Nothobranchius furzeri: one gene and its partner. The protein of the gene in region 1 purifies or fractionates together with the protein of each later gene. This does not show direct contact. Links are inferred from orthologs where the notes say so. Each region holds a gene or a part of one and is shown in the gene's direction. Other genes may lie near its edges.

Evidence for each region. Proteins that work in one complex are often made in the same cells at the same time.
Region 2: the proteins of myosin-9 (region 1) and enkur purify together in Homo sapiens (affinity purification with western blotting; 4 studies listed by BioGRID, with this or other methods). This does not show direct contact. The link is inferred for Nothobranchius furzeri from reciprocal best matches to the Homo sapiens genes MYH9 and ENKUR.

The regions. Positions count from the first base shown.
Region 1 is NC_091747.1:73,544,454-73,550,692, forward strand, and holds the start of myosin-9, read left to right. Parts: upstream 1-2,434; 5' UTR 2,435-2,568; intron 2,569-4,984; 5' UTR 4,985-4,989; coding exon 4,990-5,175; intron 5,176-5,258; coding exon 5,259-5,399; intron 5,400-5,473; coding exon 5,474-5,630; intron 5,631-5,737; coding exon 5,738-5,765; intron 5,766-6,108; coding exon 6,109-6,199; intron 6,200-6,239. UniProt on the Homo sapiens protein: Cellular myosin that appears to play a role in cytokinesis, cell shape, and specialized functions such as secretion and capping. Required for cortical actin clearance prior to oocyte exocytosis. Promotes cell motility in conjunction with S100A4.
Region 2 is NC_091747.1:58,838,177-58,843,850, forward strand, and holds enkur (enkurin), read left to right. Parts: upstream 1-2,786; 5' UTR 2,787-2,893; coding exon 2,894-2,973; intron 2,974-3,408; coding exon 3,409-3,554; intron 3,555-3,627; coding exon 3,628-3,857; intron 3,858-3,939; coding exon 3,940-4,086; intron 4,087-4,178; coding exon 4,179-4,352; 3' UTR 4,353-4,528; downstream 4,529-5,674. Other genes in the region: prtfdc1a (phosphoribosyltransferase domain-containing protein 1), read left to right, coding at 5,060-5,104, 5,454-5,560, 5,632-5,674. UniProt on the Homo sapiens protein: Adapter that functions to localize a calcium-sensitive signal transduction machinery in sperm to a calcium-permeable ion channel.

The DNA.
Region 1 (6,239 bases):
TTTAGAGAGTGACAGAACCTACACTGTCAAGAAAGTCTCGACATTCCTTGCAGGACCTCACATGTCAGAGATTTAGGCCTAGTCCACACGTAGCCGTTTAAAAAAAAAAACGAACATCCGTCCCTCCAAAAACTTGCATCCACACCACCTCGTTTTAAAAAAAACTCTGTCCACACGTACCCGGATAAATACGTTGTTAAGGACATGCCAGACCTGTAGGGGGCAGTACTTCCCCCGTTCTTAACCTCGTCCTTCGTCTGTGGTCTTCCGCAAGGAGCAGTAATTCCGCTTGCAAAAACAAACAAGCAAAAAGCGCTTGGACAATTGATAAAGCGAGCGCAGCTCTGAGGGCATCCATGCTGTCGGCTAGTGTAAACACAGGTCGCACACGTGATGTCAGCATTTTTTTGTCGTGGAAAGTGACGTTGCGGACCTTAAAACTCCGGTTTTGTCTGTCCACACGCAGACACCCAAAACGGAGAAAACGCAGATCTTCACTTTGGCCGGAGTTTTTAAAAAGATCCGTTTTCGTGTGAAAGAAAAATATCTATGTTTTGGCAGATCCCCGGCTACGTGTGGACAGGGCCTTAGACAGAGATCCTCAAAAGTGATGGTGTAATACCAATGCCCTATACACTGGCGCTACTGGCTACTGATGCGGGTGGTGGTCTTTACGTGTGTTTAAAAGAATTGCAGCTTGTGTTTATTTCCGATGATGTTCATTATTTCGTCTTGTTCCACAAATGTCCACGATCCTTTCACAGCAGTTAAAGTGGTTTACAGTGAATGCGTTACTTGCCCCAATGACAGTCCGCAGGGTCCTTTACACCCAGCCGCAGTCCTCGCCACACAATAAAAAACTGTTTGTGCCATCACAGCAACACCAGAGTCTAATCTGTGTTGGCTTAAGTAGGCTGGTGCTTCCACAATCAATTTGACCAATCAAATGAGGCCAAGCCTCCTCTCATGTATGCAGAAAGAAAATGAAAGACCCATATGGCTCCTACAGATGGACTTGCATCCATTTGGTCCAACCTTGAAGATGGCACGATCCTACATACCAAGATCTTAAACAACTAGCACTCACACCATCTGTTGTGCACGACTCTCAGCTGCTAATGTGAATATTTAGCTCTGAGGTAGTGCTGTTTGTGCGGCAGCCATGTTATCTCAGTTTCAGCAGAGATTCAGCTAACAGACAAGCAAACTGGGACAGATGAGTCTGAAATGGATCTTTTTGTAGAACAACGATCGGGAACATTGAGGTGGAGCAGTAGGAGATTATGTAGAGGATTAGCTCTTCTGCAGAAATCTTTCATTGCGAAAAAAGCTAACCCGAGTCTTTTATTTTGATCATTGGCGGTTTTAAACAGGGGCCTGGGCCCCTATAGAACTGGCCCTGGCCCCTGTTATGGCCCCTGTGCTGAAGAGATCGGATTTTTCCCCCCGCGCTGCCTCGGAGACGGGAACTAATGCGCTGCAGCGTTTCACACGGAGCCTTTAGAGTGCAGCACACTCTGTGGACAGAACTGTTTACCCGGTGGATTTTTGAATAAAAGATTAAGAATAGTTTAAATGGGACCCAAAGAAATTCTTGAGGACAACTAACGGAAAAGACGCTGAGAGACGAAGGCAAGCAATACAGTTTATTTTCCTGACATCAATGAATTTCCTTTGGCAAAATTGTGTACAAGCACAAAATTAGTCATATGGCGACGACAAAAAAGAATTTTGATATTGCCCTAATTTTCCCCTTTTTTTTCTTGCGCCCCCATGAAAAAATACTGGCCCCACTGTGGCCCCCCTGGAAAATTTGGCCTAGAACCGCCCCTGATTTTGATATTTGGAATTGATGGACTAGTTAGAACCCCATAAACAGAACGGTGTCAGAGCTTCCAGCTGTTGCAGATGTTTCTATGTGGACTCCATCAGAAAGGTTAAGAGTTTTAAATACTGGGACTGACTTTTTAAATGTATGCCCGTTAAAAAAAAAAACTTTTTTGAGGAATTTTTGCGCAGTACGAATGTCACAAATCACCATAAATTAAATTAAGCATTTTTGATAAAACGAAACCACGTTTTTGAAGCCCATTGGGAACCGGAAAAACGGGCTCGCTGGTTTTTTATTCCCCTTTCTGTCTCATTTGAATATTCGGTGTGTGTTTCGGTGCATAGAGGTGTGTTTATACACTGGAGGTAATCATTCAGCTGCATTTATCTGGCAACACGTAATTTGTTTCCGTGTTTTGTGATTTATTACATTCACCAACGCGTCTAAAAGTAAGTTAAAAGTGAGAGTTAAAAGCACCCCTGTGCAGAAATCCCTTCCGTGCTCCGTGATGCCATTGAAAGCAGCGCGCGCAGCCGCCGACAGGTGGGCGTGGCCACGAGCTCACCTGAGAAGTGATAAAAAGTGAGCAGCTGAGCGGCGCGCGGAGTCCATCCGGGCTAAAGTCGGGCTCCGAACAGTTAGACGGGCTCTCTTGGCTCTAGGGGACACCGATCGAGACGTCAGCCGGAACCGAGAGCAGAGACGGAACCAGGAAGAACTCAGCTGCTGAGATCCAGGTGAGTGGGTTTCTTCTCCTGCAGGAGGGACATTTAAATATGGGGATTTCTGCAGCTCACCTGCTCCAGGTGTTCTGGTCAGAGGATGTTTAGAGCCAACAACCCTTTTTTTAACCGTTTCAGCTAAATTTGGTGCAAACTTGAGATGAAAGAATTTATTTCACTTAACACCTAAAGTGACACCAGAAGATGCTGGTTTCTGGTTACTACAGGCATGTGTAGATTATGGGATGAGCATCAGTTTAGTCCTGAAATGAGCGGAGCCCAGTTCTGGTTCTGGTGCTCAGACAGCAAGCAGGGCTGGTCTGTGGCTTCAGTTATCTACAATCAGTGACGGACTTCCTCAGCCAGGCCGGGTTCAGGCCGAGCCTGACTTCTGTGAAATGAGTCTTCCTCTTTAGGTTCATCATCACAAACAAGACCTGCTTCATTATAGTCTGCAGGGACAAGAGGACCTCACACCAGTCTTGTGTGTGTGTGTGTGTGTGTGTGTGTGTGTGTGCGTGCGGGCGAGCGTGTGCCAGGATAAGAAGCAGATTGGCAAACAGCCGAGATCAGTTCAGTGGTGATGCTGCAGAAAACGTGCCAAGGAGCACAAAGGATTAGCGGTGCAGACCGTGCACACACCCTTAGCAGACTGCAGCAGCTCCTTTAGTCGTTTCAAAGAGCTGCGGGAGAGTTTGTGTAACTTCCTGCAGAAGTTAGTTCAGCAGCAGCAAAACCACAAACCCTCATGAAGCATCACAAGTTCTCACACAGATGAAGCGTTTCTGGGTCGGTGCTGGTGATCTGGACGCTGCAGGATGTCAGTCCTCTCCCTCTGATCTCCAAGAGTCTGAGCTCATAATGAACTTAAGGGAGACACAGATGACACCCTGTGCACTGATCCCTTTATCCCTCACTCTATAAACACACACAGACACACACTCTTTCATCATCCATACGTGGAAGTAGCTCATCTGAATAAATATTTGTTCTCCAAGGACCCAGCTGACCGTCCAGAACATAGAATTTTATCTGATGTGGGGCTGGAGGGGTTGTAAGGGTGTGGTCTGGATATGGCATGTGCCCAGACCTGCTCCAACATTCCTCCACCTCCAAAGCACCAATCCAAGGGTCTCCATCAGAACCTTCTTACAGTTTGAACAGCAAACGCCAGGAACACGGAGCAGGACACAAAGGCTGCTCATTAGCTCTGGAAGTTTGAAAAGTGAACGGATGGTTGAAGATGACGATGAGGGGTTGGGAATTTGTGGAATTCTCTATAATGAGAAGGTGAAGAAGGAATGTCGTGGAAATGGAGAGGAAGAAGAGTCGTGTTGAAGACTTAAAAAGAGTAATTTAATGGACCTTAGCTGTGGAGCGTCATCTGTGTGGAGTGTTGTCTCATTCCAACCAGCTTTGGATAAAAGATGCTCCGTGTTCACTCAGAAGGATTCAGTGGAAAACTTCAAACAGCTGTTTTAGAAGATGTGTCCAAACCTGTCCCGTGCCTCCCGTGTTTGTGGATCGGAGTGCACACGCCTCAGCTCTGTGTGTACACGAGGAGCTCAAAGTCATTATATAAACTTGACACCTCAGGGTGATTTGAGTCTGCAGTAATAACAGCTCCCAGTATAGATACACCGAAGCTCTTCAGCTGTGCTAAATATGATTAATCCTCTGTTTCAACAGGCAACAGCCTCTCTAATGTAACAAAAACACTCGGCTAACAGGAAAACGACGGATAAAGCCGAACACGTCTGATTATTGGTGAGTCAGAATAGACCCAGAGCTAAGGCCATCTGCGCCCAGAGTCTCGGCCACAGCCACGTTGTTTCTGAGACCCTAAACGCTTAGCTCGTCCGAAAAGTCATTAGTGGTTGCAGAATGTCTGCGTTATGATCATATCTTTGATGCGGTCTCCTCCCACGCTCTCCTGTAGCAGAAATCTTCATCTAGATGCCGATTTGAATTAAAACCCCAGTCTGACCGCATCGCCAAGCAGCCCTGGTTCCTGCCTGAGCACGAATGTTTTTGTTCAGTCCCTCTGACTCATCAACATTTAGGGATTTATTTTCAGGAAACTGCAAAGTTCTGGTAATTTTAGATTTGAGATATGAAGCAATTTGATCTAATCACACACACAGAAACCTGGTGGCAAATTCCTGAGCGTCAGACGCCGGGTGGAGCATCGAGTAGATTTTACAATCAAATCTTCTTTTGAGAATCTAAAACTGCCTGAATTAAATAGAAATGGTGATTTTTGTGGTGTTCACGTGTAAAATTTATAAATAATGATCCTACCTGTTGTGTAGCTTCCTGAACAGCCTTTGTTTAGAGAAATGGAGTTTCTTTTTGGGACTGATGAGCTAACTACTAGTCTATTTTCTTTTGTCTTGACTCATCTGATTAAACTCTGTTTTGCGTCCTGCAGCCACCATGACTGATGCAGACAAGTTCCTGTATGGGGACCGCAGCGAGGTCAACAACCCCCTGGCTCAGGCCGACTGGGCCTCCAAGAAGCTGGTGTGGGTTCCCAGTGAGAAGGTGGGCTACGAAGCCGGCTCGCTGAAGGAGGAGCAGGGAGACGAGTGTGTGGTGGAGCTGTCGGACTCTGGCAAGAAGGTGAGGATCAAACCTCAATTTGTGTTTCTGGAGTCTTGTCTGCGGCAAATGGCAAACCTCCTGCTTGGTTATTTAAATCTTAGGTGAAGGTCAACAAAGATGATATCCAGAAAATGAATCCTCCCAAATTCAGCAAGGTGGAGGACATGGCAGAGCTCACCTGCCTGAACGAAGCCTCCGTGCTGCACAACCTGAAGGAGCGATACTACTCGGGACTCATCTACGTGAGTGTTCCGATCCGTTGCTGCTCACCGGATTCAGAGGTTCTCTCTAACGTTGCCATCCCGCTGTGATCCAGACGTACTCCGGTCTGTTCTGTGTGGTGATCAACCCCTACAAGAACCTGCCCATCTACAACGAGGAGATAGTCAACATGTACAAGGGCAAGAAGAGACATGAGATGCCCCCCCACATCTACGCCATCACAGACACGGCCTACAGGAGCATGATGCAGGGTGAGACGGCGTAAACCGCGCCCGTTATACATGATGTTACCGTTAGCTAACGACTGAACTTTAGCACATCTTCATCTTTCATGAACCGAAACTTCTCTCTCTAACAGATCGGGAGGATCAGTCCATCCTTTGCACGTAAGTCTCGTAAATTATCTTCTCAGCTCTTGTCAAAAGCTTCACGAACAGCCTCCGCTTGGTGAACTAGAGAATACGTTCTATGGGACTGATAAGCTAACGGCTAGTCTAAGAACAGCCAAGACTGGTGTACTTGTGCCTTTAAACAGTTTTCATGAGGTACTGTGAAAGATTTTTTTGGTGTGTTTTAAGAAGGTAGCAGTTCATGTTAGCGTAGCTATGCTAGGACTAGCCGTTAGCCATTTCTCCAAATTCCATCCAGGAAGATATTTATGATCAAGATTTTTTACTTTTCTGTTTTGGACATGGTTTTTAACATATTTTTATGATTTAATCCCCGCAGTGGGGAGTCTGGAGCCGGCAAAACGGAGAACACAAAGAAAGTCATTCAGTATCTTGCACACGTTGCTTCATCCAAGTCTAAAAAGGACCAGGTTAGTAAAACACAACTCGAGAGTGGAAATGCTCCATCGT
Region 2 (5,674 bases), about 15 Mb from region 1:
TGATAAATATTTAGTCAAACGATCAGTCTAAATTAGATTATTTACTTTCTTTAATTATTTGAACATTTTATTAAAAAATGAAAAGCAGTTCACGCAAAAATACAGTCTGATCCTCGTCTGCTCTGCCCTCAGTGAGGCTTTACGTGTCTACAGCAATGACAGAGCTCTTTAAACATGAATAGGTAATAGTCGACCCACCTGTGGTAATAGCCGAGCCCATGCAGTTGATGGAGTTGGCGGTGCTGAGGACAGTCCCGTACTCCACAGCAAGACTTCCGGTTAGCCCCGATTCTCCAAACATTCTCTTAATGGCCTTCTGACAGAAATCAAAGTCTGACAGCACCCCAACTACCTTGGCGTTCCCTGCCTTGTGGCTCATCATCTGCAGCTTCTGGATCTCACTGACTCCGTCTTCTGGGAAAAACACCAACACGCCGGTCCGGTGTCTATCGGCGCCAGTAAGTTGACAGAAGCCGCTCAGCACAGCACTGCCGGTGTCTCCTGACGTGGCAACCAGTGTGAGGAAGTTGCACAATGGTGGGAGGCAGTGAGCAAAGATTTGAGGCATTAACTGTAAGGCCAAGTCCTTGAATGAGGCAGTAGGGCCGTGAAAAAGCTCCAGAACATACTGATTGTGGATGAGATGTTTGACAGGCGCAACTCTCTCACTAGAAAAGTTAGACCCGTACGCTTTAAGTATCATTGTTCTGAGATCAGAAGCAGAGATGTCCAACGGGTGGATGCACTTTTCTAGTAAAACTAAAGCTCGCTCTGGATATGTCATTGAAACCAATCTGAGCCATTCCTTTTTACTAATCTTGGGAAAGCCTTTTTTAGGAACATACAGGCCACCATCAGCAGCCAGGCCTTCCACCACCACATTAGTGAAATATGTTTTGTGTCCGTCCAGCTCTGCGCCATCACACCTAGTAGACACGTACGTTTCCTCATCCCGTTTCTGATATCGCTCCACAGCCAGCAGCACCTTCTCCACCACTTCCTCCACCGTGTCTCCTCTTCCACAAAACACCCGCAAGTCAAGCCACTTTTCATAAAACTGCTTCCTGTAAAGCAAAATGTCTCTAATGGACACTCCTGCTGCTTGACCCACAATCCTGTTCACCTTCATCCTGTCGAGTCTCTGAATTATATCGTCACTGTCCACGTCAAGGTAAATGACGAGTCCGCTCTGTGTGACATGCTGCATTGCCTCAGTGTGGAGAGGGTTAGAACCCGTCAGTGACACAACACACCCGGATGCTGAGAAGCCACACAAAGCCTGACCTTCTTCCTCTAAAAAACGCTGTCCACCTACTGTTGCTAGTTTAGCTGCAACGGGCATCTTCCACGTCGTCTCCAAGACGTCGATGTCAATGTCAATGACAGGAATTCCCAGTTTATGAGCCACTATCTTTGCAACCGTGGTCTTTCCTGCTCCAGGCGGGCCCATGAGGAGGATGTTTGTGTCCCCCAGTGGGCTAGCTTTGGTGGAAAGCCATGATTTTGATGTTGAAAGTGGACACAGGTAACATCTGGCAGCTCTTAGTGCAAGCAGACCTGCGTGTAGTAAAGCCATTCAGGAAAAGGAAAGCAGCTGTTGACCCTGGGTAAGTGAAACATATCAGTTAATTTTATTAATGCACAAATTTGCACGTTATGAAAAAAAATAATAAAAACATGTTGAAACACTATACTTGAAATATTATGATTTTAGACTCATAGTTTGATCACACCAGAATCAGTGACATCAAATTTTACATTTGGGCCCATTATGGAACTATAAACTTTTGTTACTAACAAAACAATTCCGTCTTTATTTCAGAAGCAAAAACCAGGAGTTTCTGACCAGGTACAGTGGGCATTTTTATGGTTTATGATGGTGTAACCCACTTTTATGGGACTTTTATTTTGAAGGTGCTGCTGACAGGATGTGATGTTTGAAAAGAGAAAAACAACAGAAGTTGGAGCGGAGTTGTTAATGGTGTTATTTAAAATATAGCGACCCTGAGAGTTCACGGTTATCAACCTTTTCTTGAGCAACCACAATCCTATATCTTCTACCGTGTCTTTATGGAAGGCTCGGTTACAATGGTATACTTTCCATCATAACAAATGAACAAAACTGGTAATTGGAGACGTTTAGCTAAAACTAAAGGCACTCTCAAACGAGGACACCGTAATTTATCTTGTAGTTGCGCCCGTAAAAACCGAAGGAGGTCTGGCTTACTTACGGTTAGCTAGCTAGCATAAAGTATCTACAATACAAACACTCACGTGACAACGATTTCTATTTTCGCTCCGGCTTTAGCATGCCTCCAATGACTGCTACAGCAAGCATACTGGGACAAAATTGTCAAATTCGCAAATAACTTTTGTAAAAATATATTTGACGGCATAAATTGGCATGTATCTTTAGGATCATGAATAAGTACTGTTACGTAAAGTTACAGCATAAGAGCGAGTTCGAAAACGCATAATTTCGACCCCCCCCCCCCCCACACACACACACACACACACACACACACACAATTTAACACATGAAAAATAGGGTGTTGCATTCCAAACCGAATAGGAAGCTCGGAATTTAGTGTTTTCCATTCCAAAGCATCGACTGTTTGACTGAAGTTTGACGAATTTCAGAATTAGAGTTATTTCATCTTATCTTAGAAGTACGTTCACAATCAACCGCCTCTTTTAATTGTTTTAGAGACTTTAAGTGTTTGTTTGACAACGCGATGTGCAAGCACGGTTTGAATATTTCCAAACTGTCCTGGAATGCCGCGTTTGGAGGAACCGGTTACCTAGCAACAAGGCAGTCGTTCATTTTTTCGGTTGCTGAACTCCAGTGTCAAATTAAACCTTTTTACTATCGTGCTTTTATTAAATTGTCAACATGTCGGACTCTCAACAGCCACCAGAAAGCGTCTACAACCATTTGTCAAAGGAAGAGAGCAAAGTTCAAAAAGCGCCGAGGTTAGTATTCTTACATTGGGTCGTCAAAGTGTTAAATAGTTTAAACGTCTTTACTTTTGTATTACTTTTTGCTGCCTAAATAAATAAATTAACACCCTACAAATGACTTATTTTACATAAAGAAAAGCACAATGACATAAAAAATTGTTTTATAGTTTAGCATTCAAACCCCTAATTTATGTAATTCGGTTACAATAATGAAATCTGTAGCCTGGCAGGAAAAGTTCATCGTAGAAATTGTAAAGCTGTTCTAACCTGTAAAATAAATTTACCGAAACAAAATCAAAGTCATAAACACCAGTAGGTATTCTATAAAATCATAAGAGTGTAGTCAAAGATACATTCCAGGTTATAACCTGACTGCATTTATTATCATGACATGTACTCTGTTTTAACCCAACTTATTTTTTCTAATGTTCTGAAATGTTCCTAAAGGTATGTATCCAAGTTCAGACAAGCTGTCATTCTTGAGAACAAGGCAACCAAAGATTCGATGAAGACGATGGGACCAGCGAACGTGGAAATGCCATCTCCAGACAAGTTCCTTAAGAAGCATTCAAAGGAGCCCAAACTGCCTGAAGGTGAGTTCTTGTAATGAACCATTTTTAGATTGGTCTTTTAGTCATGCCTGACATGTTTTTTGCGATCCCTCAGTGACAGAGTGCTCCAAAAAGTGCCTCAGAACTTGCACTTGCACTGTGAGAAAGCCACCAGTACCTAAAAGGACGGACATCCCACCGATGGAGATTCACACCAAGAAGGATTTTTCACAAACAACTGTTGCAGTGCCGGTGAAGCCTACGCCCGCTTCTGTAGACAGTAGGAAAGGAGATAAGCAGCTCCTAGAACAGTCTGGACTTGTCCCCAAATACGTCTTGAAACAGGTATTATTTACCACAACGAAAACACAAAACTGAATGGTAAATTTAGCGTCAGATCCAAGGCAAACCAAAGGTTTCCCTGCAGGATTATGGCGAAGTACCTGCATACCTGCAGAAGCGCAGAGAAGAAGAGACTAAGACTCAGGAGGAGTATGAACGCTTCATAGCGGAGCAGAAGGAGCAGGAAGCTAAGAAGCGCCTGTCAGAAGAGGAGCGACAGTCCATACTGAAGGTGCTCAAACCAAGCCAAACCTCTTAAACTGTGGCCATGAGAGATCATACCCAACCATCATGTCTTGTTTCCTCTTCATGTATCTCCTCCAGGGGCTGAAGAAGAGATGGGATCATTTTCATCGTGAGTACCAGTGCCTTCCTCTCATCATCGACACCTTCTCGAAGAAAGCCCACAAGAAAAGGCTGGAAGAGGCGATGAGTCAGCTGGAGAAGGACATCAGCTACTTTGAGACGTACACAATCATCTACAAACCCAAAGATTAGTCTCAGACAGCACTGACTGTTGGAAACTCTAATATCATCTATTTAATTTCCTTTAATTGATAATTATTCCACACGTTGGTGTTTTATTTTGAAATAACGTCCTTTTTAAACTCTGGATTGTTTTAGATGGCCAACATTATCTGGAGGAAATGAATAAAACCTTATCAAGGATGGCATATGTTGCTCCGAATCTTGTTGAAAAGTTTCTGAAGGGGAACTGAATTAACGAGGAAGGTGGAGGAGCTTCTGGATCAGTGATGAGTTCAGTGAGCAGCTTTTAGAATGACGCTTCTGAGTGAATTGGGCATAACTGAAGCGAATTTCTGCAGTTTGTTTCATTTCCATCCCCCTCCGTCTGCGTCCGGTCGGCCAGCGTAGCATCACATGCGTCTGATTATCCATTTAAAGTCTCCTTGACCCAAACAAAGCCTTTCTTTTACCAAAACGACTCAAGTGTGATAGCACGGCCCACGTGAAAGGACACGACTTCCCTAGACATTTCTCCTTTTTCCCTCTTTGCTTCGCCAGCTGCTGCTACAGGAGCACAACAGCGAGAGGATTTATTAATCAGCTCTTTTCAGATGGATATGTACCTTCTCCACTTTTGTTCTTAACTTTCTTCATTTAAAGTATAAATTCACTGGGCTAGAGCTGCTTCTGTGATCCCCTTAAAGGTGAATAAACCTGCAGTGCAGACGGTCTTCATCATGTCAGCACAAGTGAAAGATGGAGACATGAAAAGAGGAATTGTGGTAAGTTAAACAAAAAGTCTGATTTATTTATTTGTTTATTTATTTAGATTTTGTAATGATTTTTATGCATAAGAACATTTTTAAAAATCCCCTATTTTTCCTCTCTGTAGATATAAAAATGTTTTTTGTATTATTTGAGCAGCTCTCTGAGAGCGCTGTACCCGCTGATGTTCTCACAGTTTGGTTGAACACATTTTAGTACCAACATCTCATTAAACCTAAAATTTAACAAAGCTTTAAAAAAAAATCAACAAAATAATGCTTTATTAAAAAGTTCAATGTGCTTCCAAACAGCATCAGCTGCTGTAGGACCTGCAGAGCTCTGCCCTTAGTATTTTGTTTCCTTCAGATTAAAGACGACTGGCCCGGCTACAGTCTGGACCTGTTCACCTACCCAGAACACTACCACCATGACATTGAGAACGTTTACATCCCTCATGGCATCATCATGGACAGGTAGGAGCCCGCATGAGCTGGTTGATTTCTTGGAAATCCCATCCCTGGTGTGATTTTGATTCCTCCTCCAGGATTGAGCGCCTGGCCCGATACGTTATGGACGACTTTGAGGAC